Xenopus tropicalis: one gene and its partner. The protein of the gene in region 1 interacts with the protein of each later gene in a pairwise test. Links are inferred from orthologs where the notes say so. Each region holds a gene or a part of one and is shown in the gene's direction. Other genes may lie near its edges. The genes, in order: mocos and parva.

What was found.
Region 2: the proteins of mocos (region 1) and parva interact in binary tests that used the Homo sapiens proteins (3 or more experiments, as listed by UniProt). The two-hybrid records come from large-scale screens. The link is inferred for Xenopus tropicalis from reciprocal best matches to the Homo sapiens genes MOCOS and PARVA.

The regions. Positions count from the first base shown.
Region 1 is NC_030682.2:74,579,622-74,583,972, forward strand, and holds the start of mocos (molybdenum cofactor sulfurase), read left to right. Parts: upstream 1-1,542; 5' UTR 1,543-1,629; coding exon 1,630-1,777; intron 1,778-4,351. UniProt on the Homo sapiens protein: Sulfurates the molybdenum cofactor. Sulfation of molybdenum is essential for xanthine dehydrogenase (XDH) and aldehyde oxidase (ADO) enzymes in which molybdenum cofactor is liganded by 1 oxygen and 1 sulfur atom in active form.
Region 2 is NC_030680.2:6,440,597-6,444,920, forward strand, and holds the start of parva (alpha-parvin), read left to right. Parts: upstream 1-1,494; 5' UTR 1,495-1,554; coding exon 1,555-1,690; intron 1,691-4,324. UniProt on the Homo sapiens protein: Plays a role in sarcomere organization and in smooth muscle cell contraction. Required for normal development of the embryonic cardiovascular system, and for normal septation of the heart outflow tract.

The DNA.
Region 1 (4,351 bases):
GAATAAGTGGAAAAAAAAGAAACTAAAAACCTTTTTTTAAAAAATGCAAATATATGCTAACCTGTATACAAATTATGCTGCATGTGAATGCCAAAAGAAGAATATCCACAGCTGATGCCTGCTTTGCTTCCTGTGCCTCTGAACTTGGTCTGAGTGCACTGGAAGACTCATCATTCATGATGCACTAGGAACTGGAACCAACACCAACCGTGCAGCTAAAACTAGAATAGCACTGCTCACCATTGTGCAGACTATATAGTGTCTTGTAAGGAGGAGTGTCTTTCTCTCTGGCTGCTGTTGTCTCAGGCGTCACACCATTGAGCCTGGAGGCATAAGGCCCCAGTAAAGAGAACCATCTTTATATTAAGTCGGGGACAGGGCCCCGTGAACGAGAGAAAGCCAGCACAGTCAGTTCTATGTAATAGCACCCTCTAGAAGTGGTGAGCACAGTTAGCCTATTTAGAAAGGGCAGTTATTAGCCCCATCAAAGAGTTTGTAAAAGGGTTTAGCCTACCCCGGCTCTGTTGTCTTTCTGAAGGGACCGGTTTAGACGCAGGATTCAGGCAGGTGCTGTGCCCCTGGACCATAGTCGGCTGGAAACATTCCCTACTCTAAAGGTCTTCATCTCAGGTATCCAACTAATACTCTGCACAGTCTCCAAGTGGGTTATACTGTTCCTTGAGTGTCACATCTGCTACTCTCCATTGTGACCAATTCACAGATGGGGCCACTTAGCGGAGGCCCACCCCTGTGTATTAAGGTCGCATGTAACACATGCTCTATACCTATTACTAGTCTGGGTTTTGCCATATCCTAGCCAAACAAGTGTTACATACTGCTTACCCTATGCTGCTTGTGTGTGCCATACTCTGCTTGCCCTGTGCTGCTTGTGGGAGTTGAATCTGGCAGGGAATTTTTCTGGGAGTTTGTTATCATTTGGAAATAGTCATTAAATTATCCCTAAGGTGTGTAAGTATGTGCTAGGGGAGCTGTGCTATCCACAAGTGAAGGCTTATGGATTTAAGGGTATGTCTTAATATGACATAATAAACTTCTTTCACGTATAAATGAAGGGTGATATCCCTGCAGTGAGAACTAACCATTTGGGATTTTGCTGTGCTTACCACCGTTAATGTGGGTATAGTGTTAAAAGCTCTTGTGATAACAAGGGTGTGGTTTAAGTGGGCACAGTTTAAAAAAGGGGTGTGGTCAAAACTGGCTTCCATTATCGTCCCTCCAGTATGTAGGCCAGAAAAATCCCAGCCCTTGGTACCATACAAGTTGGACAGCACTGCCATAAAAGAGAAAGTATTTTGAGCAAAGAAAGCCATTTACACAAGTACCTGATCCTACCAAATAGCAAGGACAGGAAAAAAGAGTGGAGTGGGGAAGAGGGTGTATACACAAGCAGTTATGAAATGTAATTGCTGGTGTTTTTTTGGAACCTGTCCTATTAGAGTTGGGGTGGGAATACAAATCCTTAGTGTGATATTTCCCATAGTCACCAGGGAAAGTAAAATAAGGCTGACAGGAGAAGGCTCCTCCCACTAAGGAGTGGCTTCCGTTTCTGGGTCATTACTATGCTGACACTTTTGCTACTTTTTAACAGAGCTACGCTTGAAGCTGGCTATGAATGTGAATCTCAGTATTTCAGGCATGTCTCTGGACGAGCTGCTGTCTGCAAAGCACTTTCAGACTTTCTGCAGGAGCCCTTCCGACTATGGCTATGGGAACACTATAGAGGATATGAGAAGAAAGGAATTCAGCAGAATTGGAGGTATGTTCGATAGGTGTTAACTTGCAGCAAACTCATGAACATATGAATACAGCTGATGTGTTATGTTCCAGGGGAAGTATACCACAGCAGAGATCCTTTATGGTAAGTAGGAGTTGCACTTTGTGTGTCATGCATAAACTGGGTACATATTATATAGCTATCCCATGCACTCAAAAAGAAATCCACAGCACTTGACAACACGCACACGCGAAACAAATACTTTTAAACTGTTTATTGATAGCTTCCTTTTTGGGAGATGTGAGCAGCTGAAAAGCGTGTGTAACTTGTGTCACATGACAGACAGGGCCTTATGAAACAGAACAAGCAAAGTAGGAAGCATGGAAAGAATACGCAGCGTTCCTGGAGTGGGCGTGGCTTCTCAACACAGCTGTGTGTATCTGTAACCTGTTAGTGCAGGAGAAACCCATAAACGTTCAAATATGCTTTTGACTTCAGTTTAAAGAATGCGTCATATTTATTTAGATTTTTTTTATTTTTTTTATAACTGTAATGGATTTTGTTTATCTTTAAATAGAATGCATATTAATGGGAATAATTTTTCAAGTGTTGCTAGGTGTTTAGTGGAAATAGTAAAGGTCATTTTAGACATCTTTTACCTTTTAACTGCTAACTTTTCAGTTATATAGTTAATAAGTGACCACATCCCTGCTTTACTGGTTATGTAAACATGTGTGGACAAGGACAAGTGTTGGGATAAAACTATGTTCTTTTGCATAAATTGGTACCCAACTGCACGCAAGAAAATAGGTTGAGCTGAAATTGTACATTTCCGTAATGCGGGACATTCGTGTAACTATCCCGACAGTGGGACGCGCTGGCTGTAGTCAGGCGTTCAGTTCCTCTTCTTCAGCGTCTCCTCTATATGCGGCTCCTTGTTCGGCGGAGCCAGGCCTTTTATAAGGTTGCGCCCGTGCGTATTGACGTCAGACGCACGCACGGGCGCAACCTTATAAAAGGGCCTGGCTCTGCCGAACAAGGAGCCGCATATAGAGGAGATGCTGAAGAAGAAGCTTCGGCAGCAGAATGTATGGAGGCACTGTGTGGGGGGGTGCTAATGTGTATGGGGGGCACTGTGTGGGGGGGGCTACTGTGTATAGGGGGGCTACTCTGTATGGGGGGCACCTGTGTATAGGGGGCACCTGTGTATGGGGGGCTACTCTGTATGGGGGGGGCACCTGTGTATGGGGGGACTACTCTGTATGGGGGGCACCTGTGTGTGGGAGGGGCTACTCTGTATGGGGGGCACCTGTGTATGGGGGGCTACTCTGTATGGGGGGCACCTGTGTATGGGGGGGCTACTCTGTATGGGGGGCACCTGTGTATGGGGGGGGCTACTCTGTATGGGGGGCACCTGTGTATGGGGGGGGCTACTCTGTATGGGGGGCACCTGTGTATGGGGGGGCTACTCTGTATGGGGGGCACCTGTGTATGGGGGGGCTACTCTGTATGGGGGGCACCTGTGTATGGGGGGGCTACTCTGTATGGGGGGCACCTGTGTATGGGGGGGGCACCTGTGTATGGGGGGCTACTCTGTATGGGGGGCACCTGTGTATGGGGGGGCTACTCTGTATGGGGGGCACCTGTGTATGGGGGGGGCTACTCTGTATGGGGGGCACCTGTGTATGGGGGGGGCTACTCTGTATGGGGGGCACCTGTGTATGGGGGGCTACTCTGTATGGGGGGCTACTCTGTATGGGGGGCTACTCTGTATGGGGGGCACCTGTGTATGGGGGGGCTACTGTGTATGGGGGGCTACTCTGTATGGGGGGGCTACTCTGTATGGGGGGCACCTGTGTATGGGGGGGGCTACTCTGTATGGGGGGCACCTGTGTATGGGGGGCTACTCTGTATGGGGGGCACCTGTGTATGGGGGGCTACTCTGTATGGGGGGCTACTCTGTATGGGGGGCTACTCTGTATGGGGGGCACCTGTGTATGGGGGGGCTACTGTGTATGGGGGGCTACTCTGTATGGGGGGCACCTGTGTATGGGGGGGCTACTGTGTATGGGGGGCACCTGTGTATGGGGGGGCTACTGTGTATGGGGGGCACCTGTGTATGGGGGGGCTACTCTGTATGGGGGGCACCTGTGTATGGGGGGGCACCTGTGTATGGGGGGGGCTACTCTGTATGGGGGGCACCTGTGTATGGGGGGGCTACTCTGTATGGGGGGCACCTGTGTATGGGGGGGCTACTCTGTATGGGGGGCTACTCTGTATGGGGGGCACCTGTGTATGGGGGGGGCTACTCTGTATGGGGGGGCACCTGTGTATGGGGGTGCTAATGTGTGGGGGGGCACCTGTGTATGGGGGGCAAAACTGGTACATAGTTATAACTCACTTATAACTGACTGCCTTCTCCCTATATTTTATATGTAGGAGTTGCTGTATTGTTTTCCTTAGGTAGTACAGTATGAGGGTATAGCACATTTGCGTCTGATCCCGCCATTTCATCTATATAAAAGGAGTATTTTTTTTAAAAATGGGGTGTGGTAATTGGGGCGTGGCCACAAAAGTGGGCGTGGTCAAAAAATTTGCCGCGCTGCGCGCGCACCA
Region 2 (4,324 bases), on another chromosome or scaffold:
GAGGCTGGGGTAACTGAGTGAGGCTGGGGTAACTGAGTGAGGCTGGGGTAACTGGGTAAGGCTGGGATAACTGAGTGAGGCTGGGGTAACTGGGTAAGGCTGGGATAACTGAGTGAGGCTGGGGTAACTGAGTGAGGCTGGGGTAAGTGGGTAAGGCTGGGGTAACTGGGTAAGGCTGGGGTAACTGAGTGAGGCTGGGGTAACTGGGTAAGGCTGGGATAACTGAGTGAGGCTGGGGTAACTGAGTGAGGCTGGGGTAACTGGGTAAGGCTGGGATAACTGAGTGAGGCTGGGGTAACTGAGTGAGGCTGGGGTAACTGAGTGAGGCTGGGGTAACTGGGTAAGGCTGGGATAACTGAGTGAGGCTGGGGTAACTGAGTGAGGCTGGGGTAACTGGGTAAGGCTGGGATAACTGAGTGAGGCTGGGGTAACTGAGTGAGGCTGGGGTATGAGTGAGGCTGGGGTAACTGAGTGAGGCTGGGGTAACTGAGTGAGGCTGGGGTAACTGAGTGAGGTGGGGTAACTGGGTAAGGCTGGGATAACTGAGTGAGGCTGGGGTAACTGAGTGAGGCTGGGGTAACTGGGTAAGGCTGGGATAACTGAGTGAGGCTGGGGTAACTGAGTGAGGCTGGGGTAACTGAGTGAGGCTGGGGTAACTGAGTGAGGCTGGGGTAACTGAGTGGGCCTGGGTAACTGAGTGAGGCTGGGTAACTGGGTGAGGCTGGTAACTGAGTGAGGCTGGGGTAACTGAGTGAGGCTGGGGTAACTGGGTAAGGCTGGGATAACTGAGTGAGGCTGGGGTAACTGAGTGAGGCTGGGGTAACTGGGTAAGGCTGGGGTAACTGAGTGAGGCTGGGGTAACTGAGTGAGGCTGGGGTAACTGAGTGAGGCTGGGGTAACTGAGTGAGGCTGGGGTAACTGAGTGAGGCTGGGGTAACTGGGTAAGGCTGGGGGGAAAATTTATAACTGAGTGAGGCTGGGGTAACTGAGTGAGGCTGGGGTAACTGGGTAAGGCTGGGATAACTGAGTGAGGCTGGGGTAACTGAGTGAGGCTGGGGTAACTGGGTAAGGCTGGGATAACTGAGTGAGGCTGGGGTAACTGAGTGAGGCTGGGGTAACTGGGTAAGGCTGGGGTAACTGAGTGAGGCTGGGGTAACTGAGTGAGGCTGGGGTAACTGAGTGAGGCTGGGGTAACTGAGTGAGGCTGGGGTAACTGAGTGAGGCTGGGGTAACTGAGTGAGGCTGGGGTAACTGAGTGAGGCTGGGGTAACTGAGTGAGGCTGGGGTAACTGAGTGAGGCTGGGGTAACTGAGTGAGGCTGGGGTAACTGTGCCAGGAGAGGTGCCGGGAGCAGACAGAGGGGCGGATCCCGCCTGAGAGGATTCCGGTTGCGCCCCAGGCCCAGCCCCGCCCCGCTGTGACATCCCAGCCCCGCCCTGCTGTGACGCCCCCCCCCCGCCCCGCCCCGCTGTGACGCCCCCGCCCCGCCCCGCTGTGCCGCTCTGCGCCTCTCCCCGCCCCGCCCCGCTGTGCCGCTCTGCGCCTCTCCCAGCCATGGCAACGTCCCCCCAAAAGTCTCCTTCCAGCCCGAAATCCCCCACCCCGAAGTCTCCCCCCTCCCGGAAGAAAGATGACTCGTTCCTGGGCAAGTTGGGGGGCACCCTGGCCCGGAGAAAGAAGGCCAAAGAGGGTAAGTGACTGGGTGGGGCTATTGGGGCAGTGGGTGGGGGCACCCCCGGGGCAACACGTTCTGCGCTGCATTCCTTAGCGCTCTCTGTAGCTCCGCCCACACAGTATGGGGGCCCCCGGGGGCCCAATATATCGGCCCAATGTACCGCGGGGCCGGACTGTGTCCCCAGAGCTTTAGGCACCGACCCACCCGCCCGTCCTGCCTATTCCTGCCCGGGATCTGCATCTGGGCCTGAAATACCCTATATACAGTGTGGTGTTACCCCTGTGCCCTGCCTGTTACCCCTGTGCCCTGCCTGTTACCCCTGTGCCCTGCCTGTTACCCCTGTGCCCTGCCTGTTACCCCCTGTGCCCTGCCTGTTACCCCCTGTGCCCTGCCTGTTTACCCTGTGCCCTGCCTGTTACCCCCTGTGCCCTGCCTGTTACCCCCTGTGCCCTGCCTGTTACCCCCTGTGCCCTGCCTGTTACCCCCTGTGCCCTGCCTGTTACCCCCTGTGCCCTGCCTGTTACCCCTGTGGCCTGCCTGTTACCCCTGTGCCCTGCCTGTACCCCCTGTGCCCTGCCTGTTACCCCCTGTGCCCTGCCTGTTACCCCCTGTGCCCTGCCTGTTACCCCTGTGCCCTGCTGTTTACCCCTGTGCCCTGCTGTTACCCCTGTGCCCTGCCTGTTGACCCCTGTGCCCTGCCTGTTACCCCCTGTGCCCTGCCTGTTACCCCTGTGCCCTGCCTGTTACCCCTGTGCCCTGCCTGTTACCCCTGTGCCCCCCTGTGCCCTGCCTGTTACCCCTGTGCCCTGCCTGTTACCCCTGTGGCCCTGCCTGTTACCCCTGTGCCCCCCTGTGCCCTGCCTGTTACCCCTGTGCCCTGCCTGTTACCCCTGTGCCTGCCTGTTACCTGCCTGTTACCCCTGTTACCCCCTGTGCCCTGCCTGTTACCCCTGTGCCCTGCCTGTTACCCCTGTGCCCTGCCTGTTACCCCTGTGCCCTGCCTGTTACCCTGTGCCCTGCCTGTTACCCCTGTGCCCTGCCTGTTACCCCTGTGCCCTGCTGTTTACCCCTGTGCCCTGCCTGTTACCCCTGTGCTTTGCCTGTTACCCCTGTCCCCCCTGTGCCCTGCCTGTTACCCCCTGTGCCCTGCCTGTTACCCCTGTGCCCTGCCTGTTACCCCTGTGCCCTGCCTGTTACCCCCTGTGCCCTGCCTGTTACCCCTGTGCCCTGCCTGTTACCCCTGTGCCCCCCTGTGCCCTGCCTGTTACCCCTGTGCCCCCCTGGCCCTGCCTTTACCCCTGCTGCCCTGCCTGTTACCCCCTGTGCCCTGCCTGTTACCCCTGTGCCCTGCCTGTTACCCCCTGTGCCCTGCCTGTACCCTGGCCCTGCCTGTTACCCCCTGTGCCCTGCCTGTTACCCCCTGTGCCCTGCCTGTTACCCCTGTGCCCTGCCTGTTACCCTGTGCCCCCTGTGCCCTGCCTGTTACCCCCTGTGCCCTGCCTGTTACCCCTGTGCCCTGCCTGTTACCCCTGTGCCCCCCTGTGCCCTGCCTGTTACCCCTGTGCCCTGCCTGTTACCCCTGTGCCCTGCCTATTACCCCCTGTTCCCTGCCTGTTACCCCCTGTTCCCTGCCTGTTCCCCCTGTTACCCCTGTGCCCTGCCTGTTACCCCCTGTGCCCTGCCTGTTACCCCCTGCTGCCCTGCCTGTTACCCCCTGTGCCCTGCCTGTTACCCCTGAGCCCTGCCTGTTACCCCTGTACGCCCTGGCCTGTTACCCCTGTGCCCTGCCTGTTACCCCTGTGCCCTGCCTGTTACCCCTGTGCCCTGCCTGTTACCCCTGTGCCCTGCCTGTTACCCCCTGTGCCCTGCCTGTTACCCCTGAGCCCTGCCTGTACCCCTGGCCCTGCCTTCCCCTTGCCCTGCTGTTACCCCTGTGGCCCTGCCTGTTACCCCCTGTGCCCTGCCTGTTACCCCTGTGCCCTGCCTGTTACCCCCTGTGCCCTGCCTGTTACCCCTGTGCCCTGCCTGTTACCCCCTGTGCCCCCCTGCTGCCCTGCCTGTTACCCCCTGTGCCCCCCTGTTCCCTGCCTGTTACCCCCTGTGCCCTGCCTTATACCCCCTGTGCCCTGCCTTATACCCCCTGTGCCCTGCCTGTTACCCCCTGTGCCCTGCCTGTTACCCCCTTTGCCCCCCTGTTCCCTGCCTGTTACCCCCTGTTCCCTGCCTGCTGCCCCCTGGGTATGGGGGTACAGTTTATTGTGTGCCCAGAACATTCCTTCTCTGTATATTTGTATTTATACATATGGGTAGGAGGTGCCATAGTGTTTCCCTTAGACAGTACAGTATGGGGGTACAGCTTATTGTGTGCCCAGAACATTCCTTCTCTGTATATTTGTATTTATACATATGGGTAGGGGGTGCCATAGTGTTTCCCTTAGACAGTACAGTATGGGGGTACAGCTTATTGTGTGCCCAGAACATTCCTTCTCTGTATATTTGTATTTATACATTATACATTATGTTCCTTTGGACAGTACAGTATAAAATGAAAATATATATTGTATAAACAGGTTCCATGACCTGTATATAAGTACTCATCCTTCTGCCTTGTGCCTTTATATGGGCACAGAACCCCTCAGTGACTGCTAA